Linked DNA regions of Mus musculus: regions 1, 2, 3, 4, 6 and 7 are each reported to be linked to region 5. The links are microRNA targets in miRTarBase. Many come from high-throughput screens and were not tested one by one. Region 5 holds a microRNA gene; each other region holds the end of a gene's coding sequence.
What was found. The annotated mature microRNA mmu-miR-124-3p reads UAAGGCACGCGGUGAAUGCC and lies in region 5 at 1,968-1,987, opposite strand. An mRNA with a match to its seed (bases 2 to 7 or 8) in the 3' UTR can be bound and repressed. Matches are read on the target gene's strand: a 7mer-m8 pairs with bases 2 to 8, a 7mer-A1 pairs with bases 2 to 7 and ends in A, and an 8mer does both.

Region 1 (4,304 bases), not on the chromosome of region 5:
GGCTTTCCACGCCACTTAACTGTATCTATTAAACAAAATTTACATATTATCTATCTACTGATCGGGAGGCTCTAAGGCTTTAAATTCTTTTAATTGCGCTTGATCAATAAAAAAACACAAGATACAAGTGGTAACACATGAATCATTAAACACAGTAAAAAGATACTTCGGAAGCATGAGACAATGGTGCCTCCTCTGAGTGACTCATAGCCCCTGGCTTCGGGTCAGCACTGCCGTCCTAGGAAGGAGCCAAGGCACAGTCGCCATGGTCTCCCTTTTACATTTCTTGTGGGGAGGGGTGCCAGTGAGCCCTGCTCACACAGGTCAGGAGACAGCTGAGACACTTCAGGATAGCAGCATAGCAGGGCTCTTCTTCATGGGCACATGTTAGAACATCTGTGTAACTTTGTTTTAAAATTCTCAGTGTTAAAAGTAAAAAAATCCACCAGGTATGGTGGCGCACACCTTTAATCCCAGCATTTGGGAGGCAGAGGCAGGCGGATTTCTGAGTTTGAGGCCAGCCTGGTCTACAAAATGAGTTCCAGGACAGCCAAAGCTACACAGGGGGACCCTGTCTCGGAAAACCATAATAAAATAAATAAAAATAAAAAGTAAAAAATCCACCAGATGTTCAGCCCATTCACAAAAGCAAAGGCCAGGAGCCACCATTTTGGGGTCTGGGTGTGGAAGGGCTTTTGTTCTGTTATCCGAGCTTTTCGAAGGTGACAATGCATCGGCTGCTTAGGTGAGTCTCAGAAAAGGAAGGGCACAACAGGAAGATAAGAGTCTGTAGGCAATACCTGGTCAGTGGCTTTAAGATCCCTGGCCATGGTGACTTTTATTTAGGTTGTAAGTTGGTCTGGAAACATATAAATGACTAGGTTTTGTTATGCAGCTTTGTTTAAAAAAAAAAAAAAAAAAAAAAAGAGCAGAATGTGTTGGGGTGGAGCTGGAGAGACCGGGGAAGTCAAGACTAGCTGGTCTTACAGAGGACCTGGGTTTGGACTCTTGTATCCACGTTGTATGGTTTACAACCACCTCTAACTCCAGCTCCAGGGAATCCAACGCCCTCTGCTGTCCTTTGTGGGTACTGCACCCATGTGCACACACTAACCCACAGACACACATATGCACACACCTAAAAATAAAATCTTTTAAAAGGATTTTTTTAATTGCCCTCAAACATTTTCTACAGTAGACTGGATGCACACATCATGCTAGGCTAGAGGATCCCAGGGTCACCTTAGGAAATGCAGGCCTCTACACCCTGTTTAATTACCACATACCTACACGTTGCAGCACACAAACTGTGCAACTTTGTTTACTGAAGTTTCTCGTGCCCGGTGACCTTTGCCACCTGGCTTTGTACTTTCTCATGTAACCAATGTCCCAAATAATACACAAAGGATGGTGGGCAAACCAGTGTGACATTGTAAGGGTCTCTGTGATTCATGAAGAATGATACCCCAGATGCAAAATAGTATGCAACCGCTAAAAGCGTTTATTCTTCAGAGAACCTGCATGCAAGGGTCCACCATGCATCAGAATGGAAGATAGAGGTGTGGCTTTTGCAGGGTCAATTTAAAGCCTGTTAGGGTAGGAGTGGGTGGCTTTTACCTTTCTTTCCCTTGGTTGGTTGGCTCTGTCTCCAGGGGTATGGATGCCCTTGTGATTGGTTAAGGCTCTGGGGGATTTTCGGGACTTTTGCTGGTTAACTATACTTGGCTCAAGCTAAGTGGTGGGGCAGCATCTACAGCTCCCGATTGGCTGCCCATGAGGGGTAGTTTTCCCTGGAATTGACTTGTTTTGGACTTTTTCAATTACGGGAAACAGAAAAGAAAGCCTAATCTCCCCCAACTGCCAGTTTGGAGCCTGCCATGGGGTCAACCTGGCTCTGGCTAATTCTGTCCTCTCACCAGGACACCATCCATGGTTGTTGTCACCAGTGCTGCTACTATCATTCACGGTGTCTAGACAAGGACACATGGCATCAGGACAGGCTCAAGGGATCCTTCTGTAAAGGAACTGACTCGGACCTTGACGTCAACCACCAAGAAACAAATCAGTGCATGACCCTATCAAGCTCAGGACAAAAGAACCTCACCAGTGCCCCCTAGTGATGGAGCAGGAAGAGACCGTTCTTCCCAGCTCACTGGTACAGCTGTCCTGCAGGGTACACCTCACTGTAAAAGAGATGCTTCCTGCTGCCTCCTACCCGCCATCTCTCACTTTCTTTGATACAGTAGCGAAGATACCCATTTTAAGCAATGAAGACGCCAGCCTTAGCAATTGGACTTTAAAACAGAGCAAGGTGGAGGGATGATGGGTGGGAGGATGGCAGCAGTCCAAGTTCTGCCGTGCACAGGTGACGACACAATACATTACCTGGTCCCAGCCAGTGGGAAGCTGCTACAGAGCCTGACATGTCCTTCCATGCAGGCTTCACACAGCCTTTTACCCAAGTCACCCACTTGGCAGGATTCCTTTCCTTCCTTGTCAATTACCAGAGGAAATACCAAGTTGGGAATCAGAGGAGTTACAAGCTAGCAATCCTCCTCTGGGTTCATGGTGGATGTAGCCCCTGGACCCAGTAACAAATGCTTTCTTCCAAGGACAGAAGACGCTATCTTGGAGGTTGGTCTATGATGGAGCTGTGCTCAGGGGACTTGGAAAATGGCGGGACAGGAGAGAGAGAGCTAGTTTTTAATCTTTTCTCCAGCAACACATACATTAAGGCCACCATTTTGGATCTCACCCAGAGGGGAGAGACCCCAGAGGGTTCCTGACCCCAGGTTCCACTCTGTTACAAAGCAGCTCACTGTTGGCTCCTCCCCCACCCACAGTCAGATCTCAGCTGTTCATAGCTACACCTGCTTTCCCAAGGCAATTCTCCATTCACTAAGAAGCCCTGAGTTTACTATTTGTCTGTCTTCTCCTTTAAGAGTTTTATAAAGCTGGAGACTTAGCTCAGTGGTAGCACAAGGGTCTGGAGTAGCCACAGGATTTCTGAAACACTCTAACATCAATTCCATCAGAGCTTAACTTGATGCACCCGAATGTTCGATAACCCAGGGAAATTTGCCTGTAAACCTACCTTTCAGCTGCCTCTTTGACCAGCAATGATGCTATTGGCTGTGGCCCCAGAGGATCTTGGCAGCAGCCTCCTACCAGACTCAAGAGGACCCTGGATGTGATGAGTCGGGGCAGATACAACAAGGACATGCAATAAGCTAGCACCCCAGCACTCCAATATCACTAGCCATGAGTCAAAGAAAAAATGTCTTAAGGGCAGACTCTATCTCCCATTTCTGCAGATTCCATGTAGCTTTGTCTAGACAACTGCTTTGCCAGTGGTAGCTAACACACATTGAGGTCAGCTCCTGACCAGCCTTTGGGGTTGTGTAGAATACAGTGGTGGCCTGAACTATAGAATCATTTGCCTCTTAGCTGAAATCTTTTTTTTTGGAATCTAATGAATTAGTTCCCCGTGTCTCAGCTCACCTTCCGGGGAAGTCAGTTACCTGGGTCACACAGGTAGAAGCTTGCTCACCACAGAGGAACTCCTGTTTACTGTACAGATCAGGTACAGAACGCTTAACGGCATGAAACTGTTGTCTTTATTCAATGAGGCTGAGAACAGGGAAGTTCAAAAGGCACACAGTTGGGGGGATCCTCTATCAGGGGTAGTATAAGTTAAGAAAGTTGTCCAAGGTGGAAAAATAGCAGGAAGGTCTCAACGCCTCCTGCCCACGGGGGCGTCTTCAGAACTGTCATCTCTATGGTGAGTGGCTCGGAGAGAGGACGATGAATGTCACAGATGAATCTCTTCCTGGGGGCTGTTTATAAGGCTCTCCCGTACCCAGATGCGCTCGTGAACACCGTGCGCATGCGCGCACGCACACACGGCTTCTAGGAGTAGAACCTGCTGTTGCTTACTCTCTTCTCTCTCAGCCTGAAATACAGGAGATTGAGTCCCATCAGTGGGTAACTCCCACCCTACCTCGCAGGTCACCTGTGGCTGAGTGGAGGAGGCTCTGGGCTCCTAGCATACCCCCTGAGCCTTGGGGAATGTCCACTTCCCCCTTGGTCCTTGGCAATGGCGGCTCTTTAAGGATCCAATGAGAACACACCTGGTGGGCGGAGCTTAGGCAGTGTTCTTTGAAGGTTAGTTCATTTGCTTAAGGTGTTAGGAAGCCTCTAGGTCGCTCCTAGAAGCTCCAAGACTTTAGGGGATTGGAGGGGACGTGGAGGGGTTGGAGGGGTTATGGGTACACCTACCTCCGGTTGCACTTCTCCTGGTACAG
Region 2 (4,304 bases), not on the chromosome of region 5:
GAAGCTGGACTCTTGTTTAAAGCACTGAAAAAGTAAGAGGCACGTAGATGGCTCTGAATGGCAAGCTGACACTGACAGAGGTACAAGTGATTGACACTGAAGAGAACTCTTTGCTGGGGGGGGGGGGGCCTGTAGTGGAGCACCTAGGAGAATACATCTTCCTGTGTTAGTTCAGACAACAGGTAGCTGACCAAATAGGCCATGGCCTTGACCCATATCGTATCTCTTCCCTTATCACCCTGTGAGCCAGAAGAGGGGCCAGCAGTGCCCTTCCTGGTGGTCATATGTGCTCAGGGGTTAGGAAACAAGGAAACAATCAGCCCTGCTGGGTTCATAGCTTCAGTGACCCCCGTGGGCATCTAGATGATATTCGCTGTGTTTGATAGCCTCTTTTTTTTTTTTTTAGTTCTAGACCCCCAGAGCCCCAGAAAGCTCCTTCCAGACTTTACCAGGACACCAGAGGAAGCTACGGCAGTGACCCCGAGGAGGAGGAGTACCGCCAGCAGTTGGCAGCACACTCGAAGCGTGGTTACTACAGCCAGCCCTCCCGGTACCGAGACACGGAGTTATAGAGCTTGTATGCGTGGACTCCTGCGAGGCCACCTGGAGATCTTCTCCAGTTAAAACGCACTGCAGAGATACGGTGGGGACCCAGGCAACAGATGGCATGAGTTATCAACTGAAGGCTCTGTTTGTGGGACTGGAGTGAAGTTGATTCTGACTTTCTTGAATGAAGAGAAACAGTCTGATAACTGTTACTTGCTTTGGTGTGGACCAAGATCTGTATTAACCTCTCTGTATTTTTTAATATGTATATCGAGCAATAACTATCTTTCCTCACTCGTGGCTGCCTTCCTGCACAGCTTCAGTGTGAAGCAGATGTGAAGAGGGAGTTAAAAAAAAAAAAAAAAAAAGGACTCCGTCTCAGACTAAGTTCAGAAGTATTTTATCACGACTCTCTAAGTGCCTTTGACAAAATGTGTCTCACGTTTGCCTCCCTCCCTGACGCTTCATGCAAACCCATAATGGACTAAAACTTTATTTTGACTAAATTTTTATACCAGTTTAGCAGCTGTGACTGCCCCTGCACCATGCCACCTTTTCAGGGCATTGTCTGTAGTATTTTCCACAAATTCTGACTGTACATAGGACAGCGACCCTCGGGAGTGTGTCTGCCTATCAATTCTGCGTAGCTCGGAGGCCAAGATTTTAGAGTGTTTGTCCGTTGTCTGGAACCACATATTCCACAAAGGCAGAGACTTGAGAAAAGGGTATTTTGTTTCCTCTCTATCAGAGTATGTACTGACATCGGGTGGTTTTGTAATTTAATAAAAAGGAGTACAAGAATGAGTTTAGTGCTGAGTCTCTACACACCTTCCTTCTGGGCAGTGTGGGGGGAACCCAAGGTCCTCATGCATTCAGAGTGCTGCTTCACCACTGAACTACACCCCACTCTTCCTGATTTATTTTAATTAAAAAAATTTTTAAAAAGACATAAAAATGTGTGTATGAATGTTTTTCCTGCATGCATCTGTGTGTGTCACATGTGTGCCCAGTGCCTGCAGAGGTCAAAGAGGGCATCGGATTCCCCCCAAAACTGGAGTTACATTGGTTGTGCTCTACCATGTGGGTGCCAGGACTCAAACCTGGGTCCTCTGGAAGAACCAAAGGTTTTCTAAAGCTCTGAGCCGGTTATCTGGTTCCTCCTTCCTGTAGTCACACAAGTGAGAACTTACACAACAGGGAATGGAAACATGGGAAGAAGAAGAAGAAAATAACCCCTTCACAGGTCTGATCTTTCTCCAGTCCCTTATTCATGAGTGTCTGTTGTGTGTCTATTGCGTGTCTGTGGGAGAGCCCCGAGGCTAAACTGTGTTGTGTGTAGTTTTACGTTCTATCCATCTTTGCTCCAGGAGATGACCATGCAGCTTCCCTTGAATCATCAGATAAAAGACACAGACACACAGTTGTTCCTCCTTTTCAACCTGCCTTAAGACACAATTAATTGCTGGGTGTCACTGGCCTGGAAAAGCATGCCCTCATCAGTCTCTCCTCCCACCTGCCCTCCTGCCAAACATCCCTGACCACCCGCCTGGAGGAGCTGCCTGTGTGGCCACTCCATTTTGAGATCTCACATGGTTGCCCAGTTCTCCCCTCCAAAACATGGAAAACTCCTTCTCCTTCCTGTGTCTCTCTGCCTGCCTCCCAGGATCTGGAAGTTCTGCCTGTCCCTTCCACTCAACAATTGGTCCATGGCTTTCTTTACTGACAGTGTACTGGCTAGTTTTGTGTCAACTTGACACAGCTGGAGTTACCACAGAGAAAGGAGCTTCAGTTGAGGAAACGCCTCCATGAAATCCAGCTGTAAGGCATTTTCTCAATTAGTGATCAAGGGGGAAAGGCCCCTTGTGGATGGTGCCATCTCTGGGCTGGTAGTCTTGGTTCTATAAGAGAGCAGGCTGAGCAAGCCAGGGGAAGCAAGCCAGTAAAGAACATCCCTCCATGCCCTCTGCATCAGCTCTTGCTTCCTGACCTGCTTGAGTTCCAGTCCTGCATACTTTGGTGATCAACAGCAGTATGGAAGTGTAAGCCGAATAAACCCTTTCCTCCCCAGCTTGCTTCTTGGTCATGATGTTTGTGCAGGAATAGAAACCCTGACTAAGACAGACAGATTAAGAACCAACTGGGGGGTTGGTGAGATGGCTCAGTGGGTAAGACTGCTCTTCCGAAGGTCCGGAGTTCAAATCCCAGCAACCACATGGTGGCTCACAATCATCTGTAAGATCTGACTCCCTCTTCTGGAGTGTCTGAAGACAGCTACAGTGTACTTACATATAATAAATAAATAAATCTAAAAAAAAAAAAAAAAAAAAAGAAAGAAACAATTGGGGAACAGGACCTTAGCATAAGAACCGCCCACTACAGTGCTGGGTTTGTGCTTCTGTTCCCTATTCACGTTTTATCAAGAATGTTCTTTCACGCAGTGAAGAGCTCCGGGCCCGTCGTGACTCATCACCACAGACTAATTTTGTTCACTTGCTTCATAAGTGAACGCTCACCTATTGATCAGTTTGACTATGTTTATTTCTCTATCATGTTAGATGCGCTCCTTTTATCTAAGCTGTGCTTTGTGTGCCAGCCATCACGTCAGCCCTCCAGCAGGTAGATTCTCAGCACTGGAATTAGCAAGGTGAAGTGGTGGACTTTTAAGGCTTGTGTTTACTACTAGGTTGCTTCCTAGAAAAACTCAGCTGTGTGACAGTTTAGGAATTTAAGCTCTCCTACAAAACCTGTATATGTTCCAGATGCATGAGAATGCTTGAGCCCCCGCACACTCCTGATTTTTGTTTTCCTATCTTCTGGCAAATTTTTTCTCTCTTCTTTGTCAGTTCTAAAAGCCCCTGTGATGGCTAATCTTAGTTGTCAACTTGACATACTTGGGAAGAGAGAACCTCAAAGAATTGCCTCAGCCAGCACGCACACGCCTTTAACCCCAGCACTTGGGAGGCAGAGGCAGGTGGATTTCTGATTTCGAGGCCAGCCTGGTCTACAAAGTGAGTTCCAGGACAGCCAGGGCTACACAGAGAAACCCTGTCTCGAAAAACCAAAAAAGAAAAAAAAAAAAAAAAAAAAAAAAAAAAAAAAAAAAAAAAAAAAAAGAATTGCCTCTACCAGACTGGCCTGTGCATGAGATCTTGATTGATGATTCATATGGGCGGGTCCAACCTGCCGTGGGCGGGTCCAATCTGCTGTGGGCGGGTCCAGCCTGCGTGGGCAGTGCCATGCCTGCACAGGTGGTTCCTGGTTGTATGAGCAAGCTGGCTTAGCAAGCACAAAGGACACAGATCTCCTCGGGGCCACTGCCTCAGTTCCTGTCTCTAGTTTCCTGCCTCGAGCTCCTGCCCTGGCTTCCTGCAGTGAAGGGGTAGAACAGGTGGGCTGAAATAAAGCATTTCCTCTCCAGATTGCCTTTGGGAATTCAAACGAGGACAACCCCATTTACCCTTCTAGGTCTAGTTAATACTTGGCCTACCATAGTGTCTCTGATTTTCCCAGTCAAACTTATCAACTCCTTTAGCAATCGCATGGCTCTTCATGTATGCCCATCCATCTATCTATTTTCAAGAGTAGTCTAGCATGCTAGAATACTTCATACATGTGGCCTTCACTCACACAGAAACATACCATATACATAAATAAAAATATAACTCACAATTTTAAGAAAGGAGATGGGCTGGAGAAGAGGTTGAGCAGTAGAGTGTATGTCTTGCCTTCAGAGCACCTGAGTTCAGTACCCAGTTCCC
Region 3 (4,304 bases), not on the chromosome of region 5:
TGTAGAAGCAGATTCAGTACCATCGTGGACACAAAGTACAAGATTCTGAAAACATCACCAAGCACTTGGAAGCCTTAGAGCAAAGATGGAAAAGAAGTAACATGCAGGAGCAGATTCTTGCAATGCAAATGAAAAGACTGGCTTTTGGAAAAAAAATCTGTCACAAAGGAATCTGCAGTAATGACATTTTTAGCATTAAAAACAAAAGCAGCCATAGTCAAACTTTCTTGAGAACACACAACTTAGCAAGAACTGATGTGTTCAAAGTCCGTAGGACACAAGGAAGGTAGGTTTGTAACTGGAACTCAGAGGGTCTAAACATCAGACCGAGGAGGAGGAAAAAATACCCAAAATACCACTTCAGGTGTGTGAGGAAGGGGCAAAATCAGAATAAAAAATCAAAGACTTAGAAGTATATTCACCACAGCATTATTTAAATAGCAAAAACAAAAACAAAACACAAAGGAAACCAAAAACCATCTGAATGTTTTACAACAGGGAAACAACTGCATAACTTATAAATTTACAACCACTTGACTCCACAATTATCAAAAACATGCTTTTGAAGAACTACTCACGGCCACGGCATGGAGAAATGCTTAAGAGAAAACAAGTCAAGTGAAAAAGCTGGATGTAAAATGATGAATGTTGTATGTGTTCCCAGTTTGGTTTAGAAAGCAAACAAGGACTAAGGATGCACATCAGTGGTAGAGCACTCGCTTAGCAATCCTGAACCTCACTATTCAATTCCCAGCACTGGAACAAAGAGTTAGGGAGAACAGCATCTACATCCAAATGTTCACAGTGGTCTCTGAATGACGGGCCTTCCTTTATTCTTTTGCTTTCAGAAAACATACACTTCTTTAAGAAAGCACACAATTACCTACGGCCCCCTTGCTGGTACTGGGAGTCTGTGCCACACAACTGTCGGCAAGGTTACTTCAAGCATGAATCACAAACACTAGGGTGGCCCAAAGAGAGCTGCAGCAGTTAACGTTTCTATCAGTTTCAGCCTAACACAAGCCATCTCTCAAAGTGGTTTTTTACTGCATCTAACTGGGTTTTAGCTCAAAATGACATCTGAGCCATGATGCCACACCCTGAAGTGGAGAGGCTCAGCTCTACATGGGGAGCCCACTGCCCAGCTGGAGCACAGAAAAACAGGTGGAATTGACCCATTCAAGCTAAGTTTCATCTGTGATGCTGAGAGAAGCCAGGGCTCAAGTGGGCTGTGAGGTACTACAGTCTGCTGTACCTAGGTAGGAGAAGCCAGAGAACAGTCTTCAACTTTCTTTCCATCCTTGCCATTCCTAGGACACATGATTTCTAGAGGTACTAACAGGGTATTTCTCTCTCTCCTTACATACATCCCAAATTTACTGTTTCACACACACACACACACACACACACACACACACACACACACACACACACACACACACGAGTTGTACAAACTGACATCCACATCCTGTCCTACAAAGTAAGGCACCTTCACACAGGGTGACGGCTCTAAGGATGACTGGAAAAATGAAGGTGATTTAAGCCAGGTTAAGAAATGAATGTACATGGTTCATTAAAGGAAAAAAAAATCAAGGAAAAGGGGGCAGTAAGGACAAAGGTGACCTGGGAAGAGATCAGCTGTTGTAGCTTGGGCAGTCATGGTGACCACCCACTACTAATAGCTCAGCTGAACTCTGATTTTAGAGGTTAGGGTGGTGCTTGGTAAAGCCCAGGAGGTAGTGTTGCTCTCCAGGGAAGGAAGCAACAAAGGACTCTCCCATATACAGCCAGCTTTGTGGTCTAATTCAAGCCAAGCCTCAGTCCACTGCTCCCCTGTAGTTAAATGCCCTCAAAGATGCTTTCCCTGTGTCTGCATGCACCTGAGAGACAGGAAGCCACTCTTACTTACATGTACAAATGTAGGATACAGGGCACTCTGAGGGCAAAATAGCCACAAGGCGTGAGCAAGAACAGGACTCCAAGGAGGAAATAGCCAAGTGTACTTAACAGGCTCTTCAAAAACCAGGAGAAATGAGTGCCCACTTTCACTCTCAGGCTGACAGCATCCTAGGCCATACCTGTTCTGTGGGTTCTACTGGCAAGTGAGGTCCTGCTCCTTGCTCACCTGAAGCTCTTCTCACACGATCTAGCTGAGTCTAAATAAAATCCCTGTTCCCACCCAGCAACCCTGCCACAGAGTGGTGGCTGACTTTTCATCCTCACTCTACCCCAGCTGAACAGAATCACTCTTGTTGTTAAAGATTTGAAGTAGAATCTTTCCCCCTCTCAGTTTAGATGGCCTGGCCCACAGGTAGTCACTGTAGAGTAGACAGAACAGGGTAACCTCTGTTGTTGTGTGTGTTTGGGGGCGCCTATGTGAAAGTCAATAGAAATGGCAAAATTGTTGCTGCCATTGGGACATAGGAGTCTGAGGTGCTACTGTGAGCAGATGGGAGATGCCTACTTTTCTCCACTAGACACCAAGGGCCAACTTTCAGGGATATCCTAGTCAAAGAGAGGTACAGCCAAGTCCCTCAAAAGCACTCTGCAAGAAATGCCAAAAGAAGTGTCCCATTACTGGCAAAGAATGCCAGCATAGGCAGGCTCAGATTAAGAGGGCTGTTCCTGTGAGCAGGACAGTGATAACATCCTTTCCAGGCAAGGCCCACACTTTATGGAGTAGGTGACCAGGCAACATGAGAAGGCTTCTAGATTTTCAATCGTTGTAAAAATGGACCAGCTGAGAAGTGTTTGCCCACAGCATCGCAGGTGAGGCACACCCTAGGGTTTGCTCGGTGCTTGCCTCATAGGGCATGTGGTCTACTCACCTAAACCTGTGCAGAAACTCCAAGGAGGGCCTGCTGTCCCACTTCTCTACATGGAAGCAGTGGCCCAAGCTGGATTCTCTACAGTACCTCCAGCCTTGCCCAGGTTCAGGACAGGATTCTGTACCTGATAATAATCTAGTTGGTGTTACCTAGGTGCTAGTGCGACAGCAACCCTCCTGGACATGTGCTTGGCTTAGTGTCTAGTTCACTGGATAAACTTCTAGGAAGTGGAACACTAGAGCAGAGCCCAGTAAGAGCACCTGTAACTACAACAGCCTTCATTCTTCTCACCATACAACCTGCCTGCTGTAAGGCAGGAACCACAGAAATCATGTCACCATAAACACACCTGACCAAAGTTCTAGGGCCATACAAGAGATTCAAGGAAGGGAGAACACATACAAGCTAAGAGCCCTGTACCCACAGTAAGCTGGTGACTACCCCAGCAGGAGTGAAGGGGCTCCTGGGGAAGGATTCTGCAACAACTAGGGTAGGCCAGATACACCCCGTCCCTCAGTCACAGCAGGAGCTGTGTGTATCAGGTGGGGAAAGGTAGAGGCAGGCATGCAGTTCCTGTGGATGCTAAGAGGGGCGGGTGATGCCAAATCTGGCCACTGGTCTGGGCAAAAGCTGGGCTACCGTGCAAGGAGCTGGGTCTCCATGGCCACAGCAGTGCATGGAAGCCACCACAGAGCACAGAGAGCAAGCAAAGCGACCCTGAATTCCTGTTTGTTGGCTATTTGTTTTGTTCTTTGTGTGGTTGGGTTCTTTTTTTTCTTTTCTTTTAAATAAAAAAGCTGCAAGATTTCTGCCATCTATGTTCTCCACGAGATGGCTGGCAGGTGGTCTGGAAGCGTCCTGGGTGGCGGCCGAGCCGCGCTGGGGCAGGTATCCTGGCAGCAATAGGCAGCCCGGCCGCAGGCCACGTCACTGCACAGCAGCATCTGGATTGCTCTGGTACTGCTGCCTCCAAACCTCCTGGATCTTTCTGCACCACTTGTGAGCATTCCCGCTTGGATCCATCAGGTAGTACGTCCTGTTAGGCTGCAAAACAGAGCATCTGATGTCCCTCAGGGAGTCCAGTCCCCACCCAGCCTATCTTGCTGTCAATGCTGCCAGCACCTTTTTGAAGCCTGTGGGCACAGTGGGCTTCTTCATTCTACAAGTGCAGAACTAAAATATGTGGGCAGGTGACCTACCAGAAACCAACATCAAGCAGAAATCTATCTCTGGCCCAATTCAGGCCTAAGTTGTTCATATAGGTCTGTCTCTAGGACTCAGGAAGCTGACCTGACCCTAGATGCTTCCTTGGCCAAAGCAAGGGCCACTTACAACAGAGATGCAGAAGCCTATGATGAGGCTACAGTAAGATGCCTTATAGGGATAGACTCACCGTGTGGACAAAGAAAGTTTTAAAATTCTTGGCTTCTGGTCGGAGTTCTTGTGACCATGGGATTTCACCTTTCAAGACCTTGT
Region 4 (4,304 bases), not on the chromosome of region 5:
ATCAGCATTGATAGATATATTGCCATCACTAAGCCTTTAACCTATAATACCCTGGTTACTCCCTGGAGACTACGCCTCTGTATTTTTCTGATTTGGCTGTATTCCACCCTGGTCTTCCTGCCTTCCTTCTTCCACTGGGGTAAACCCGGATATCATGGAGATGTATTTCAGTGGTGTGCAGAGTCCTGGCACACCAACTCCTACTTCACATTGTTCATCGTGATGATGCTGTACGCCCCAGCTGCCCTCATTGTCTGCTTCACGTATTTCAACATCTTCCGCATCTGCCAGCAGCACACAAAAGAAATCAGCGAAAGGCAAGCCCGATTCAGCAGCCAGAATGGGGAGACTGGGGAACCCCAGACCTGTCCAGATAAGCGCTATGCCATGGTCCTATTCAGAATCACCAGTGTGTTTTATGTCCTCTGGTTGCCATACATCATCTACTTCTTGCTGGAGAGTTCTACTGGCTGCAGCAGCCGCCTTGCATCCTTCCTGACTACCTGGCTTGCTATTAGTAACAGTTTCTGCAACTGTATCATTTACAGTCTCTCCAACAGTGTTTTCCAGCGAGGACTAAAGGGCCTTTCAGGGTCTCTGTGTACTTCTTGTGCAAGTCACACCACAGCCAAGGACCCTTACACAGTTAGGTGCAAAGGACCCCCTAATGGATCTCATATCTGAGGGGGGCTCATATATTCAGTCGCTCTATTTTCAAGGAGAAAGGATGGCTTTGGTTCAGTTTTTTTTCTCTCCATCTCTGCTTCCAGTTCACTAGAGAAGTAAGAGCAGCTACAGACTATCCAGATAACCTTCATAGTTTGCAGAAGTTGCTTCCTAAATGAGATTTAAAATTAGAAGAATCAGGATCATAAAAAGAATCACTCTTGATCCAGTTTTTGAAATGTCATGGAAGTGACTACAGTTCTCAGATTCAAAAGGAGTAAAGCCATAGTTGACACCTCTCCCCACTGGCGTGGCTGAATCTGGGTGTGAAAAGCATCAGCATGTTAAAAATAACCATTTTCTTGCCCCTTTCTGGATTCTTAAATGCAAGTTGGAATTTATGTGCAATTGGTTATCTTCTAACAGAAAATATTAACATATATTGATGAACTAGCAAGGATTTTCTTTATCTGTGCCAAAATATAACTGTACTGCAAGTTTCAGCATTCATTTGGATAGTGAAATATTTTCTTTTCTTGCCTTTTGAGAGCAATCTCCATAGGATGAGTAATGTGAGCACGGAATATTACTTTATAGAGTTTTGAAATGAAGCAACTGTGCAGTGAAGCCATACAGTGTGTGAGAGCCAGCTGCTTTCACGACATGCTTCTGAGCATCGTGAGCATGTGTGCAGTAATGACATTACAGTGCTCTTTCTGGGCCTCTGTCTGTAAATATTGAGAATGTGTACACTGAGTTGGATTTTTTATAACAAAATGTATTTAATCTAAATAAATAATAGAGGGACAGCTGTCCAATTGTAATGTGAAAATATGTTTTTTAAAGTGACTGTAGTGTTTTCTGTTCTAATCCAAAGTCTTCAATGAGAACTGAGTCCACTGACGCAATCAGCCCAGGGTCAATGTAAACTGTCTGTCTTCTAAATAGTCAGCTAGCATCACAGTTTTGGAAAACATTTTTTGGACCCTATTAAGGAGGCCTCCTGGAAGGGGAGAAGGGGACTCTGGTTGGGCCAAGTCTCCTTCATGCTATCCTATTTTTGGAAAAAAATCCTTTGAGATACATTTCTTGCCTCACTTGTCTGGTTTTGTTTTTTCAAAGCATTAACAAATGTATAGAATTTTATTGTTTAGAACTCAAATGTTCTGTGTTTATATGTAGAGTTAACTTTTTAAAAGTGTCATTTTTATTGTCAGAAAAATTAATTGGCCTCTGCCTTTGGCTAGAGGTTGTAGTGTGCATACAACAGTTATATTTAGTGAAGTGGACAATGGAGGAAACCCAAAAAAGGACACAGATACTTTATAAAATAGGCAGATATGCCTCGGCTTTTCACCCTGATGTTAAAAGACTGTTCTTTTAAAAAAGAAGACATGTTTCTTTCCTTACACACACACACCATTCTGGTATTGCACCCTTGCAAACAAGGCAAGTAAATTTTACTTGTATATCCATAGCAGAATTTATTTGTTCTGTTTGCTGTGTTTTCTGATTTTCCTAAAACTCACTATCTAGACCAGACTGGACTGAACTCACAAAAATCCACCTGTCTCTGCTGGGATTAAAGATCCACCCTACCCTACTTCCAGCCAATTTTGATTTTATGTTTTAGACATTGATTTTATTTTAACCTCATATGTGTTCTGCTTTAAGTTTTTTAAGTGACTGAGAATTATAAAACCATTTAAACTTCAGATTCCAAGTTCTATTGGCAGGTGGGTCTCTTGAGTTCAAGGTCAGCTGCTGAGAGGAAGAGAGAAATAGATTCTGAGTTCTCCAAATCTTGCTTGTTCTTTATATGTAGTATTAGCCAAGTTTGGCTCTGATGATTCAGAATTTAGAGCTCATGCTGAAAATGCAGGGTTAGAAATAGCTTTGTTGGATTTCAGCTTCAAGGAGAAAATCTTTTCCCCTGGCTTCTGAAAAACAGTTTGTAATACATTTCTCCTTGCATTGCACAGCTCTATAGATTTGGTTTGGATTTGGTTTCATTTCCACATGGTGGCTCACAACCATCGCTAATGGGATGCAATGCCCTCTTCTGCTAGGTCTGAACACAGCTACAGTGTACTCAAATAAAATAAATAAATTTTTTTAAAAAAACTGTAATAAGAGAGTTGACTTCACTCTTAGAAGGAGTTAAGTCCCTTTTGTTTTTTGTTCTGGGATTCCATTTTGTAACAGTGAAAAAGAAAATTGTTCTGGTAATATCTAACCAAGCTGATATGTTAATCTAAACACAGCTTTTTAAATAAGTTTTTTTTTTTTTAAAGCAGATGCTTAGTTTTACTAGTATTAATTTCTGGTTTTATTAAAGACATTTTTTAAAAGGGTAGAATTTATATTGCTTTTTGGTGCACAGACTAAAGAAACTAAGTAAGGTAAAGGAAAACATCCAGATAGACCTTCTATTACCCGAGGTACTAACAGACGTCTTTTCAGATTGTCTCATCTCCATTGTGCTGTGTAAATGTTAAGGCTTAAGGAATCGATTCTATAGCTCCATTCATTGTCTGCATGGCCATTTTATTTATAATTTGCTGGGTAAGAAGAAATGAAGGGCATAGTTACATAATCTTGGGGAGGGGGAGATTCTCTGCATCATAGACTCAGTTGGTGTTTAATCTTTTTATTCTGCCACATTTATGGCAACATTTGATGACATTTTGTTTGAATACCAATCTGACTAGTTCAGAGTCAGAAAAAATGCATACTTTTATACCTCAGATAGCTCATTTAACTCTGGTATTTCACTAGCGTCAGAATACACATATGCTTTTAGAGATAGTGTAAAATTACTTTGTAGTAAAGTTTGAAGTAAGAACATACTAATTGTTTAACTTGTAAAAGAATTATGTTTTTATACAGTGATTTCAGTGAAAATATTTGTGCCACTTGGAAGTGAGGAAGTAGTTGCACTTGAGCCAGTACCCACCTCAAGACAGAGCACTGAGTAGCCCAAATGGGTACTAGAATTATTCACAAGCTTGCTTCTTCATACTCAAAGTCCTGTTTTGGACAGGTTTTCTTTTTAGCAGTATTGCTGGATAAATTCTATTTGAGTCTTTTATAGTGGCTTTTCCTTTGTACTTAAATAGTTTATGTAATATTTTTAGGATTGGAGAAACTTGAACTTTCATACCATAAATGAACTATCTCTTTGAGTGTAACAGCAGGTCTACAGGCTCAGATGGTAGAATGATATGGGAAGGGTTTCCTCGGCTTTTCAAAGATCCATTAGGAAAATGTGCAGTGACTTTGTAGGAAATATCTTAATTGCATTGGCCATGTGCTTCTGTATTAAGAAGATCTGTGAAATACGTTACTGGCAAACCAGGGTTTGTTGTTAAATGATCAGTTTGGAAGACATTTCATGTGGGGAAATAGTAGCATTGTAAGTTTGTTTTTTGTTTTGTTTTGTTTTGTTTTGCTTTTGAAGCCTGTAAGTCATGGAATAATGTAGTTTTGTATCATTTTCCTGTCTCAGCCAGCCTAAAGAATAATCAAATGTAAATATACTAAATTATATACAGTGTTGATACATATTGTTGAGGTAACTGTTTCTTATGACTGGCTGCAAGTGAGTCACTGGCATTTCTTTAAAAATTTGGGTGATA
Region 5 (4,304 bases):
GGGAAGCAATTACTGAGTAGAGGATTGCTAATGGGGATATTTGTGGTCCAGGGGGGTTGGGCCATCATCTGCTTAGGCCATTGCTTGAAGGCAAAATAACATCTCAATGAGCACGGGGGGGGGGGGGCAAATGGGTGTACCCCCAAAATGGTACAGCACACTAGCCGTTCTCTTCTAACCCATTTGTGAAGTGAGGGAGCACCCCAGGAAAGGGCCAATTTTTATTTCAAGGGAGGTAGATTTTCTCGAAGCAATGGCTATGGCGTCTCTTAGGACAGCCATTGTGGCTGGGTCTTTCCCTTTCTGCCTTGAAAGCAGTCTGGCTTGTCCGGTAGGACTCAGCCAGAGACACCCTCAGGGTGTGGGCACTGCAGCTTTCTGCCTGCAAGAGTAAGCAGGCGGTGGCTTATTTCTGCAGAGCGGGAGAAGGTTCTGGGAATGCCTAGGTGGAATGTGGTAAATTGAAGCTCAGCCTGGCTAGCTCTAACATTCTCTTCTGTGAGGAAATTTAGAAGTTGAAATCATCGTAAAGAAGGACACATAGTAGATACTCAAGAAATAATGAATACTCTTGAGGAAACTAGGCCAGAGAGGTACTGATCTATGATATACCCTCAAATACTAATTTACTAGACTAGATGAGGCTGAGGCTTTTTGAGACAAGAGTCCTCCATTAACTTCAACGGATGCTCTTTTAGACCCTGATTACTGTGTTAGGAATCAGATTAAACTCCTAAACATCCTTCATGGGCTTGGCCTTGCAAAGGCAGGCCTCTGGCATGACAGCAGGGGGGAGGGCTACAGCCTGCTTCCTGGGGGTGGGTTGTGGGGGGGGGGAGGAGGCCAGCTCTTGGCCTCCTTTCCCTCCCTCTGCTGCTGGGTCCTGCCCCTCCTCCATTTACTCCACCTGAAAATTAATGAGTTTAGGTCGGCCACCAGGCCATCATCCATCCACTGCAGGTTGGCGGAACACTGAGATGGAGACGGGATGGAACTGTGTCGGGGGCCTCCAGGACCAGCTGCTGCTGTTGGGGGCTGATTTGGGAAGCAGGTGCTTCAGGATGAGGGAGGATTAACCCTTTCTGTTCCTGGACAGCCTGCTTCAAAACAGACTTTCCTTAGGCCTCCACCTTACTCATGCTGATTTTCCTTCTGTCTTGGGGTTTTAAGAGCGATGGGGAGAGGCCCACACTCTGGGGGCTGGGGGTGGGCTGCGCCTCCTTTTCCTGTAGCTTCTGGATTTCTGCCTGAAACTTCAGCCACAGCCCCAAGGAGGCTGGGAGGCCCTGCTTTAGAGCAGTGGGCTAGCTGTCAGTTTTGATGGAGTCTGTGCGCTGTCCATGAACAAATTTGCCGATCGCCTTCGCTCACTCCAGAGATCTGTTTAAGCTTGTCAAATGCCCACAGCTCTCCACCAACGGGTGACAAACAGCTTCCCCTAAAGACTACCCCAGCAACCCCAAGCACAATACAAGGTAGCTGCAGTCTAGGCTTTGGGGCAGTCTGCCAGTCGCATGGGTACTTGGTTATTATTATTTGTTTAAGGGTAATAAATTGAAATCCGGAACTAAGACAGGTAGGGATGAAGGTGTCGGCCTTCTACAATGGGCAGGGTCCCAGAGCTGAGGGGCACATTTTACTCTCCAGCCGTCCCCAGGCTATTTTCTGCCGCCGCCGCCGCCGCCGCCACCACCACCACCACCCCCCCGCTTGCATAGATCCGTGTTTCTGTCACAGAATGAGTTGTTTGCTTCCTAGATTCTATTTGCATCTGCACAAACCCCTCTCTGTCGGTAGCTGCACACCTCCCCACCCTAAGGGCTACTTTGCGAGGCACTCAGAAGCCTGCTACCCGTACTGTGGGCGCCTGCAGCTGCAGCGCTGAGATCTGCCCAGGGCGTTGTGCTGGGTCGATCCTTCCGTGGCAGGCCCTCGTGGACCCAAGGTGCTCAGACAGCCCCATTCTTGGCATTCACCGCGTGCCTTAATTGTATGGACATTTAAATCAAGGTCCGCTGTGAACACGGAGAGAGAGGCCTTTCTCCTGAGGAAGGAAGAAGGAAGGAAGGAAAGAAAGAAGGAAGGAAGGAAAGAAAGAAGGAAGGATGGAAAGGAAGGAAGGATGGAAGAGAGGGAGGATGGGAGAAAGGAAGGGAGGAAGAAAGGAAGGAAAGGTGGAAAGAAAGGGAGGGGATGGGGAGAAGATGAGATGAAAAAAATGAGAGATGAGAAAGAAAAAGCTGGCGACGCGTGCGTGTGCGTGCGCACTGACAGCAGGGAGGGTGTGGGGTTGGGGAACGCGATGAGCTAAGGACCACCGCATCCTTCCTACCGCAGCTCCCCCAGTCACAGACAATGAGATAACAGCCACGTCCTCCGTAGGCTCTTTGTTCTCCCGCATCCTTTCGTTTCCAAGCTTTTTCCTGCAAAGGGGAGGGGGGTGGAGGGTTCGGGATGTGGGTGGAAGTGGGAGACGGAGGGGTGCCTCCCCCGTGTTAATTACCCCGACTCCCTCACTCCTCTCCTCGCGCTTCGCCTCCCCTGCAGTTCCAGACAATGAAAAAACATCAACCCCACCTCGCCCCACCGCAGCGAATCCTACCCACCCAGTTCGCTCTCAGCTTCGCCTAGGAAACTGAGGGGGGCCAGGAGGAGGGAGATGACGGAGAGGAAAGGGATGGGAAGCAGGGGCCCAGCTACTGCTGCCTGGGCAGGGCTTGTGACCGCCGCCTTTACCTTGAGTGTAGGGTCCGGGTGTAGCCTGGCCGGGCGTGCCGCAGGGCAGAGCTGCTGCGGTCCCTTACCAGGATCTGTGGGAATCAGCCTTCCGGAACTCTCCTGCTGCGGTCCTCTCGCTTAGGTCCCAAGTGGTGGATGGGAAAAAGGAAAAGAAAAAAAAAATAAATAAATAAGAGCGAGGCCCATCTGGCCCCTCATCAGCCTTGTCAAGTCTTGCATACGCTAAAATGCTAATGACCTAGATAGCTCATGCAAAATGCAGCAGGGAGGGACAGAGAAGGAGGGGGAGCGAAGGGAGAGCGAGAGAGGGAGGAGTGAAGGGAGAGGGAGGGGGAGACAGAGGGAGGAGGGAGACTGGGAGGGGGGAGGGGGAAAAGAGAGAGAGAGAGAGCGCGCACCCCTACATGTTCCCCCACCCCACCCGTCAACCGGTTTTACAGAGGTAAAGGGTGGGTGTAGATTTTAAAAGGTCACCCCTATAGAATGTAGCTGGGTGGGGTGGGGGAGAGATCCCCAAATCCATAGGGACAATAAAATATTATTTTAAGACCCCTCCCTCTCTGCTCTCCATCACTCTGTTTACACACAAGTCCAGTCACCTTATGCATGTACATGTCAATTTCACAAGACTGCTTTCAACAGACACCCACGTTGCCATTCCCTGAACAAACCCACCCAGTGCACCAGAGTGAGGAAGGTGCTTCCTAACCCACAGACCTCCCTCACCTGGTCCATCCCACTCCCTACTAGTGCCTTATCCTTTCAGGCAGTCGTCCCCCCCCCCCCTTTCTCTTTTCTAAGCCTTCCCCATTCTCCTTCCCAATGGCTCAAAAAAGCCAGGTAGAGGGCATAGAGGACAAGTTAAATCTAACTGGATCGGTTCCGTTCAGCTTCCCACCCACCCCACAGGGTTGGGGGACACAGTCTTTACCTAACACTGACCCTTTTAAAGCATGCCACAAAAATCAATAAAATTGAGTCCGAATAACCTCAGAGGTCCGCAGGTCCGGCCGGGTACTGTTGGGCAGCGTTGATCTCTCCAATCGGGGAGCCAGAGTTCCGCGCGTCCCAAGACGCTTTGTCCCGGAACCCCCGCACAATATCCTCATCTTTTTGTTCTCCTTTAAAGGATCCTGGTTGCAGTCCGCCGCGTTTCAGCCAGTCCAAACCAAAGGCGGATCTATTGGAATAAAAAGGGATGGGGATAATATACACGCAGATGGATGCGGGAGAGTAGTGGAGGCTAAAGTCAGCCCCGCAAGCAAGGAGCGGCCTCCCTGGCCAAGCCCCAAGTGCTTCCTCGGCTATTGAAGGGAATTGCTGCTGGCAGGCGCTGATGCTGGCTCCACCTGGCCGGAGGAAAAGCATCCTGGCGATGACCCTGAAAGAATTAAGACACAAAACCAAAAAAAAAAAAAAAAAAAAAAAAAAAAAAACCCCAAACCGAACCAAACCACCAAAACAAAAAAGCAAAAAGCCAGAATCCTCCTCTGGTGAACCAGAGCACGCGTGCAGAAGAAACCGCTCTGCTGGTGGCCGCGGTCGAGGGGGAAGGATGCTAGCGC
Region 6 (4,304 bases), not on the chromosome of region 5:
AGAACTTTTTCCTAGGTATGGAATCTGCTGGCATTCATGAAACTACTTACAACAGCATCATGAAGTGTGACATCGATATCCGCAAAGACCTGTATGCCAACAATGTCCTATCTGGAGGCACCACCATGTACCCTGGTATTGCCGATCGTATGCAAAAGGAAATCACTGCACTGGCTCCCAGCACCATGAAGATCAAGGTCAGGAACACTTGGAAGGGGGAGGCAAAGGCAGAACTTGGTACCCTAAAGCAAGCTTCCTTCCCAGCCTCCTTCTCCTGCATCTTAGCTTCCTATCCTCTAGACTTTTTCTACTTAGTGTTAGCACTATTCCTCATTTCTTTCTAGCACTCTCCACAGATACGGAACTTTAGGACTGCTTCTAAATAGTGAATAAAAGCAAATATCTGAAACACGGTGTGTGTGTGGGGGGGGGGGGAAGCAATAACTAAACCTATCTACACATTTAAAAGGTCCCCAGCGTTTGAACTATCCTTCATGAATATTATTCTTTAGTACAAATAAGCAGAGAAATGATGAAATACAGGAAGGATTGCAAAGCCTGATTGGCTACATTGCTTATTGTATAGCATCTCCTACGTTGTCTACTATCGGTTAATCTGTGATGGTTTTTCTGTGAATATTCCAAGCCTGTTGCCCACTTCATTGTTGGGGACTTCAGAACACACTGATGGTTTTGTTTTCTCTCTGCAGATTATTGCTCCCCCTGAGCGTAAATACTCTGTCTGGATTGGGGGCTCCATCCTGGCCTCTCTGTCCACCTTCCAGCAAATGTGGATCAGCAAGCAAGAGTATGATGAGGCAGGCCCATCCATTGTCCACCGCAAGTGCTTCTGAGATGTCTCTCTCTTAGCCTACCTTATATTCAGGATGACCGTATTGTGCTTCTTGGAATCCTCTGAGCCCCCTCCCCATCTCTCATCAGTCATTGTACAGTTTGTTTACACAAGTGCAGTTTGTTTGTGCTTCAAATATTTATTGCTTTATAAATAAACCAGACCAGGACTTGCAACCTACAAAAGCCTGTGTTCTTTCTTGTGTGAGTGGGCCTGGGATGGAGAAGGTGTTCACTCTGATACTCCGAGCATTACAATATTAGTGCAACACAAAGTTTACCCAATGAATTCATGTGGTGTTGAATTGAGCTAGGAGTTACAGAGGTACATCTTTTGGGATGGAGTTATGAATATTTTTGAATCTTATAAGCAAAGATTAGTTCTGTGGTTTAGTTGTTAGGTTTAGTTCTGTATAAGTAAGGAATGAAGATAGAAAACACAATTATCTACAACCAGTTGCCATGTTTGGTACTAAAGTTGCTTTAGCACATATCACATATTTTATAACTTTATAGAAAATACACATGATGGTAATAAGAGGGTCAAGGCTATTAAATGAGCTTATCTCTGTGTTTTCATTGTATTCCCAGTTGTCTGTTTTTTTTTTCACTTATTTTATTTTATTTTATCTTATCTTATTTTATGTGTATGAGTGTTTTGCCTGTATGTATATCTGTACATCATGTGCATGCCTGGAGCCTACAGTAAGAAGAGGGTATACGATCTGCTAGAACTGGATGGTTTTGAGCCACCATATAGGTGCTAGGAATCAAACCAGGTTCATCTATAGGGATATTAAGGATATTAGCCACTGAGACAGCTCTCCAGCCTGTAGTGTGACTCGAAGCCAATGAAAGCAATGAGAAGGTTGACTTGCCAGGTGTTGACTTGTCATACCGCATATATACTGGTAACCATCAGTTTTTTTTTTTAAACAAAACAAAACAAAAAACATTATATGGCTCATGAATTCACTATGACCAAAATTGAATTCCAAATCAAATGTAAAATTAATACAAGGTGTTTGCGATGGTTATTGCCTGTGTTGTATCACATGACTTCACTGCAACACTGGTTTTGAGTACATGCGTGTATTTCACATGCAGCATTATGTCACACCATGGGACAGCAACAAACCCTGCCTGGAACAGCTCAGATTCAAGGCTCCTGTGTTCTCTGCATGTAGTGTACAAAGTTCCCTGTTCATTTTCAAACGCAATTTAGTATTTTTTTTTTTACTGTTTTCAGCATGTGAGTATCAAGTTAGTACATTGTTAGTCAGTATTATGTTAGAATTTTGACTTTTAAAGTTGTTGCCTGAGCTGCTGATTTCAGTTATATTATTAAAAGGTATTAAAGGAAGAATATTTGGCCTGAGACTAGAACAGGATTTACAGAAATTTCCAAAATGGCCCTCACTGTACTTCTGCCATTTTGAACTATTTATTTATGAAAAGTGGAAGTGTCAGAACTAGTGATTACAAAAATCAAAACATAGATCAATTTGGGAAAATATTAAAGATAATCTGTGTCCTACAATATCAAATGCTCAGCCATGATTTAATTCTTCATGTATTAAGTCCAACTACCTCATTAGTATGCAAACTTACTTTCACCTTTTAAAACTGGTAAATTTAGATGCATGCCAAAGAACTATGTGAAAATAAATTCCTTGATGATTTATCTCTATGATTTTTGTTTCTACTTTACAAAGCTATATGCCTAGGATCAAAAACCCTTTTCCAGCTGAAAGGGGATCATAAGTAGAAGTTCTAAGGCTTTTCCTGGACAGATTTAGGAACACTGAGCATGAGTATGTTCAAAATAGAGCTGTAAAAGGTGTGAGGACCCAGGTTCAATCCCCAGCACTGACATGGCAGCTCACAGCTGTATATAACTCCAGGTCCAGGGGATCTGGCACCTTCACACATGCATGCAGACAATACAGCGAGGTACATAAAATCAAAATAAATGTATCTTTTTAAAAGGAAGAATTATAATTAGGTAGGATAATCAAGGAGGAAGTCCCAGCAGGAGGGAGTGTGGAGGAAGCTGAAGGACCAGACAGAAAGCAGCCAGGCAGGAGTTGGAGAATTTTAGGAAATCTAATTGGGAAAAGGAGGTTTCAACCTGATTGCACAATCTTGAAATTTCTTCATTTTCAAATTGTCTTGTGCATGAACTGTTGAATCTTGCAGAGTGTTTGATGGGCTTAATTAAATTTCATCTATCGAGAGAATCAAGATGGAGAAATTAAGCACCTGGTACAGTACCACACAGCTTGTCTGTGGAATACTTAAGACAGAATTCAGATGTTCTGACCAATAATGCAACAGGGCTTCCTTCTCAAAGCATATTTTCTAACTTTAGGCATAGTTTATCAAGGGTATCCCCATTCTATCATTCTCTGCCCTTCTGGAAGTCGGGTTCAAAATCGGGAGCACTTCAGGCTCATCAGACATCTTTAGTAAGCTGCCGCTGTCCTGACCATTCCAGGTCACCACTGTGTCTTTATGGCCATCAATTTAAGTGTCTCTTGATCCTTCACTCTGGGCCAGGTTCAGTAGAAGGGTCAAGAAAGGAAAGTTGAACCAAATCATGTTTTCTTTGCTTAGGGAACTCAGGGTTCTATATTTAGAATAAGCCAAGAAGAAGGTCTTGTTTGAAATAATGAGTAAACAGTAATCGGATTCAGTGGCCTTTTCTTTAGAAAAGGTATAAGCGTTGTTTTAGATCTTTTTCCCTTGGCAGTATCTTGTACCCTAAATGGGTTGTTTTGAAAGCTGGATCTCACAAGAAGACACATTTGGGCAATGCATATGGAGTACAATGCAGATACTCTCCGGGTCTTTTTCATCTCTCAGGTCAGGTGCATACATATTATAAATTTCATATCTAGATATTGTATTACTAGTTTAAGGTCTCATAGTTCACTTGGATTTAATTTCTTGGTATTTCTGTTTATGAGTGGATGTAAGATGTATATCATTTCTATTTAGAAGTAGAAGCTTTGAGAATTATTGTCTGACCTTTGTATCCAAAGCAGTAAACACACAGATTTACACTACAGTCTGGTTTTCTTATTAATACTTGAAAATTGGATGTAAGATACTAGGACAGATGAATCTTTCAAAAACTGTGCTAAAGAAAGGTACTAATTACGTTTTACAAAAGCCACCTTCGTGTGGGTAAAATGACTGATATGTTTACAGTAACATTTCATTAAAATGCTAAGTACAAAACTTTGTATTATTTATATTTTTCTTATATTATAATGAAAAGAAACATTGCTAATATTTTTCTTGTCTCCAAATACTATTTTTTAGTTTTGTGTGTGAGAAATGGATATTACTGTAGATGTGTTTATAAATATTCAAGAGAGCAGAATTAGAGAAAAGAGAAATTACTAAAGAAAGTATGTAGAGCCCTGAGGCTGATTTACTGTTTTAGG
Region 7 (4,304 bases), not on the chromosome of region 5:
AGCTCCTGCCTCCAGGTTCCTGCCCTTCTTGACTTCCTGTTCCGACTTCCTTTGATGATGAACTGTGATATGCGAGCCTAAGCCTAATCAACCCTCTCCTCCCCAAGTTCCTTTGGTCATGGTGCTTCATCACAGCAACAGGAACCAAGGTAGTGAGTTCATGACCATCATAGTGGGGAGCATGGCAGCAGGCAGGCAGGCACGGTGTTGGGTTAGTAAATGAGAGCTTATATACTTTTTGGCAAGTAGGAGGCCCACAGAGAGAAGGGTAACTGGGCTTTTAAAATCTTAAAACCCACCTCCAGTGATACACCTCCTCCAATGAGGCCACACCTCCCAACCCTTCCCAAGTGGTTCTACCAACTGGGAACCATGCTTTCAAACGTATGAGTGTACGGTGGCTATTTTCATTCAAACAACAGGAAGAACAGAACCAAGTTAAAGCCACATCACAGAAGGTTTGAATATATTGTATAAGGTTCGTGGAGAATGGGACTTGAGGGTGATAGATGTTTGATGATAAAGGTATTAAAATTCCTAAGATTATACCAATCTACTTGTGCTAAAATTTGCAATTTTTTTCTTGTCCTTAAAAGTTTTGAGTCAGGGGGTCACTGTGTAACCATAGCTATCCTGGGACTGACTGAGTATCTGGTCCAGACCGACCCTGATCTTTCAGTGATTTGCTTGCTCTGACCCTTGAGTGCCTCCACAGCTGGCTCCATGGTACTCTCAATAGATTAAAAAAGTTGCAAACAGGTCAAATATTTATCGGTGAATGAATAAACAAATTGTTGAATATATACATGATAGAACACAGTCTAATTATGAAAGAAACAAAGTACACGATGCATGGATGAAAATCAGTCTCTCTCTGACTCTCTTCTCTCTGTCTCTCTCCAAGACAGGGTCTCTCTTCATAGTCCTACTGTCTTGGGACTCATTATGTAGTCTAGGCTGGCCTCTGCCTGGGTGCTGGGATTAAAGGCATGCACCACTGTGCCCTGCTCTGGATGAATCTTGAAGGTGGAAGAAAGTTAGACACAAAAAGTCACATATTGTATGATTTCACTTATATGAAATATTCAGAATAAATCCTCAGAGAGAGAACACAGACACCACCAATACAGACTTCACTTTGGAGTGATGGAACCACACAGAGTTGGCAGGTGTCCCACACTGTGACTGTATGGAATGTACCGGAAGGTTAATCGTGTGCATCTCACCTCAGACATTGCATCCCTATTTAGTCTAATTTAGTCCCTTCAAAAACTGGTTAAATCATAAATGGACACCCTAAAACTTATAAAAGGCGTGGCTTAATGACATCTGTTGTGCAGTCGTTATCTATGAGCATTCTGGCTCCAGCACCAGTGCTGATGGAGAAATGCAGTTTCCCCAGAGAAGTGTCTGAGCTAAAGTAGGAGCCGCTTTGCCTGGAGGATACAGATGATCTCCTGTGCCTCATGTGTGCACTGGCTGACAGTCCCCTGGTCTTCAGGCAGGACCAAATCTTCCACAGTTTGTCCTTCCATGCATCTCGGGGGTGTGTGAGGTGGTAGTTGTAATGCTGGCCTGCAGCTGAGATAAGATCTTGCTCAGTTTCTCACCTCACTCTGTTCCCCTCACTCAGCTGAGAAAGCAGCCCCAGCAGGCCATCTAAAAAGATGTCTTTAGGCTGTCTCAAGGAAACCTAATACAGAACAGCTATGGGAAAGCCAATAATGGTACATTTTTGAGTACGTGAAATCTATCTCACTACAGTTATTTACATAAAGAAAAATACCCACTGGCCAGAGAGTAGTTCCAAGGTAGGACACTTATTTAGCTAGCTCTTGAGGTCCTGGGTCCAGTGCTCAAAATTGCAACATACACATGCATGCAGGCATGCACACACACATGCATGCAGGCATGCACACACACTCCCAGATTATTAATCATTTACCATAACTATTGCTTTTCTTTTTAGGAAGAGTCTCACTTTATAGCTATGGATAGCCTGGAATTCACTCTGTAGACCAGACTGGACTTGAACTCCGAGGTCTACCTGCCTCTGCCTCCCGACTGCTGGGATTTAACAGTATGCTCCACTATGCTGGGTAACATGTTTTTATTTTTCTTCTAAAAATCTTATCTCATCTGCATAATGCATTTCGGAGAATCCCTGATGAGAAGTCAAAGTTGAACATGCAAGCATCACCTACTTAAAGGTGAAACACTTGTTTCTGAGATCTCAAATCTATACTTAATTAAAAAAAAACCCACAAACAATAAATTCTACTGAAATGCTCTCTATAGTCAACCAAGAGCTAATTTGGACTACAACATGGTAGCAGATCAAGGCAGTCTTCCTTCATCTGTGTGGCTTGTGTTTTTGTCTACTTCAGACTACAGAGCACAGACACTCAGTGTGGTGGCTTGAATGAAAATGGCTCCTGTTAGTTCAAGTTTGAGTGCTTGACCTGGTGGAACTATTGAGGAAGGATTAGGGGGAGTAGCTTGGCTGGGGGTCACTGGAGGTCACTGGGGATGGGCTCTGAGGACCACGTGTGACACCCTAGCCACTGCTCCAGCTCCATGCTTTCCTGCCTGCTGCCATGCTCCCCAGGGTGATGGTCCCAGACTCGCCCTCTGAAACTGTGAGCCCCATTAAACGCTTTCTTCTGTAAGTTGCCTTGGCCATGGCGTTTTGCTATGGCAATAGAAAGGTAACTGAGACCCTTAGTGTTTACGAAACTTTATCTTTATTGTAAAAAAAGGAGACAATATAAACAAAATAATGATAATGCAAATGATGCTCAAGACAATCGTGACATCATCTAGCAAGCTGCAGAGAAGCAGGGCAGCTCTTCCCTGCTGTCTGCTGCCACCCACAGAAGACGCAGTGCTTAACTCGCCCTAGAGAGGTGGAGGAAGGCTTTCTACCCTGAGATGGAGGCAGTTTTTGTTCACGTGGTGGGGAACAGTAAGGTGTGTGTATAAGCAGATATGGCTACACTTGTCTTCACTGCACTGCAATCGAGTCCTGCTGCTGTGCTCTCAACTGACCGAGAAGAGCTCCCAAAACAGTTGGTGCTAGAAAAGCAAATTTGGAATTAATGGTTGTCTGTCAAAAATATTGTTGACAGGGACAGAGGTGTCACAGATGGATTCCATAGGAACACATCGTCCTCAAGGGTTTGCATCATTCTCTCGGCAGAAGTGAAGGGACAGTCCCTGAGGTCAGTTTGGGAAGAAAGACAACAAACACCTAAATGTCTACTAAGAAGACATGAGCATGTTCACTGTTTCTGCACTATCAGGCTGCTGGGGTGGGGGTGGGGGTCGGGGTGTGTGTGTGAATGACACGGATCCCTCATCCTGATGCAGGAAGATGGTGGGTATCACGCCTGTCTAGTTTCTTTGTATTGACCTCATCATGTACCACAGAACAGTGGGTTTGCAGGAAGTTGAGCAGGGGTAGCCTAGAGATGTTCTCCAGAGATGTAGGGTGTTCCAAATGGCTCCCAATACCCCAACTCTGCCATGTGTGGATGTCCTCAGGTTAGGAAGGAGATGGGCTCTTGGTCGTGTCACTCTGCTCTTGGCCTGACGTATCCTCTTCTTTCTGCTCCAACTTGAAGTTCTGTGAACAAGGTCATAGGTGAAGCCTGACCCTGCATCTATCCAGTTATAGTCCTGAGGCAGCGAGGGGTTGCAAAGGCAGGCGAAACCCCATGTGCTAGGTTGTACTGCACATCTCTGAAGAAATCATCGCCCTTTTCTACCATACCTGAAATGGGGCCCGGCTTACCTCGAGCTCCTGTAAAACCTCGTCCATGAAGTCCTGGGAACTCTCTTTGTAAGCCACAGCTAATCGAATAGCATCATTGAAGAGCTGAGGGCGAGGCGGAAATGGCGGAAGTGTAGCTGTGGGGAGGACCCTGGACCCCAGCTTTATAACCAGCAGTCTCACCCCTCACCGGCCCCTCTCGTCACCCCGTCCCACAGGCAGTGGACTCCTCTGCTGCACCCAGCCACGCCCTGTCCTTGCCTCCCTACCCTCCTCTCCTCCCGGTGACTCCTAAGTCAGGTGTCAGCAGACTGCCTCAGGGCTGCCATTACCTTCACAACATTGGTACCATCAGCAGCCGAGACAAAGTACAGGGGCAGGGAGAACTTCTTGGCAAAACTGAAATTCTTTTGAGTCATCTGTATGTCTGCTGCAGAGAGAAGTGGGGCATTGGCTTGTCCACCCAGGCAATGGGAAGAGTTTGGAGGCAGGGTGAGAGGGGAAGGGACTGTCAGGGACTGCCCTTGACATG

Region 1: miRTarBase lists Plcg2 as a target of mmu-miR-124-3p. Seed matches in the 3' UTR shown: 7mer-m8 at 3,651-3,657.
Region 2: miRTarBase lists Tjp2 as a target of mmu-miR-124-3p. Seed matches in the 3' UTR shown: 7mer-m8 at 964-970.
Region 3: the mRNA of Pdpk1 is a reported target of mmu-miR-124-3p. Seed matches in the 3' UTR shown: 7mer-A1 at 3,138-3,144 and 8mer at 1,482-1,489.
Region 4: miRTarBase lists Gpr21 as a target of mmu-miR-124-3p. The part of its 3' UTR that is shown has no 7-base or 8-base seed match.
Region 6: the mRNA of Actc1 is a reported target of mmu-miR-124-3p. The part of its 3' UTR that is shown has no 7-base or 8-base seed match.
Region 7: miRTarBase lists Rabl2 as a target of mmu-miR-124-3p. The part of its 3' UTR that is shown has no 7-base or 8-base seed match.

What each region holds. Positions count from the first base shown.
Region 1 is chr8:117,634,433-117,638,736 of GRCm38, reverse strand. It overlaps Plcg2 (phospholipase C, gamma 2), which reads right to left. Exons shown (of 33, transcript NM_172285.2): 32 at 4,279-4,304; 33 at 3,595-3,952. The coding sequence ends at 3,910. Among named protein-coding and RNA genes, the nearest start is that of Sdr42e1, 37 kb to the left of the region's middle.
Region 2 is chr19:24,091,693-24,095,996 of GRCm38, reverse strand. It overlaps Tjp2 (tight junction protein 2), which reads left to right. Exons shown (of 24, transcript NM_001376368.1): 24 at 407-1,501. The coding sequence ends at 572. Among named protein-coding and RNA genes, the nearest start is that of Gm41824, 13 kb to the right of the region's middle.
Region 3 is chr17:24,075,271-24,079,574 of GRCm38, forward strand. It overlaps Pdpk1 (3-phosphoinositide dependent protein kinase 1), which reads right to left. Exons shown (of 14, transcript NM_011062.4): 13 at 4,222-4,304; 14 at 1-3,872. The coding sequence ends at 3,756. Among named protein-coding and RNA genes, the nearest start is that of Kctd5, 3.9 kb to the left of the region's middle.
Region 4 is chr2:37,517,810-37,522,113 of GRCm38, forward strand. Gpr21 (G protein-coupled receptor 21) reads left to right here. Exons shown (of 2, transcript NM_177383.4): 2 at 1-1,472. The coding sequence ends at 684. All of the region lies in intron 13 of Rabgap1 (RAB GTPase activating protein 1), which reads left to right. Among named protein-coding and RNA genes, the nearest start is that of Gpr21, 3.3 kb to the left of the region's middle.
Region 5 is chr14:64,588,392-64,592,695 of GRCm38, reverse strand. It overlaps Mir124a-1 (microRNA 124a-1), which reads right to left and starts at 2,039; the gene lies at 1,955-2,039. It overlaps Mir124a-1hg (Mir124-1 host gene (non-protein coding)), which reads right to left. Exons shown (of 4, transcript NR_040709.1): 2 at 3,729-3,919; 3 at 2,737-2,855; 4 at 1-2,423. It overlaps Mir3078 (microRNA 3078), which reads right to left and starts at 1,511; the gene lies at 1,425-1,511.
Region 6 is chr2:114,044,016-114,048,319 of GRCm38, reverse strand. Actc1 (actin, alpha, cardiac muscle 1) reads left to right here. Exons shown (of 7, transcript NM_009608.4): 6 at 16-197; 7 at 711-1,038. The coding sequence ends at 854. Among named protein-coding and RNA genes, the nearest start is that of Actc1, 6.7 kb to the left of the region's middle.
Region 7 is chr15:89,579,806-89,584,109 of GRCm38, forward strand. It overlaps Rabl2 (RAB, member RAS oncogene family-like 2), which reads right to left. Exons shown (of 9, transcript NM_026817.3): 7 at 4,105-4,202; 8 at 3,794-3,877; 9 at 2,722-3,625. The coding sequence ends at 3,545. Among named protein-coding and RNA genes, the nearest start is that of Rabl2, 10 kb to the right of the region's middle.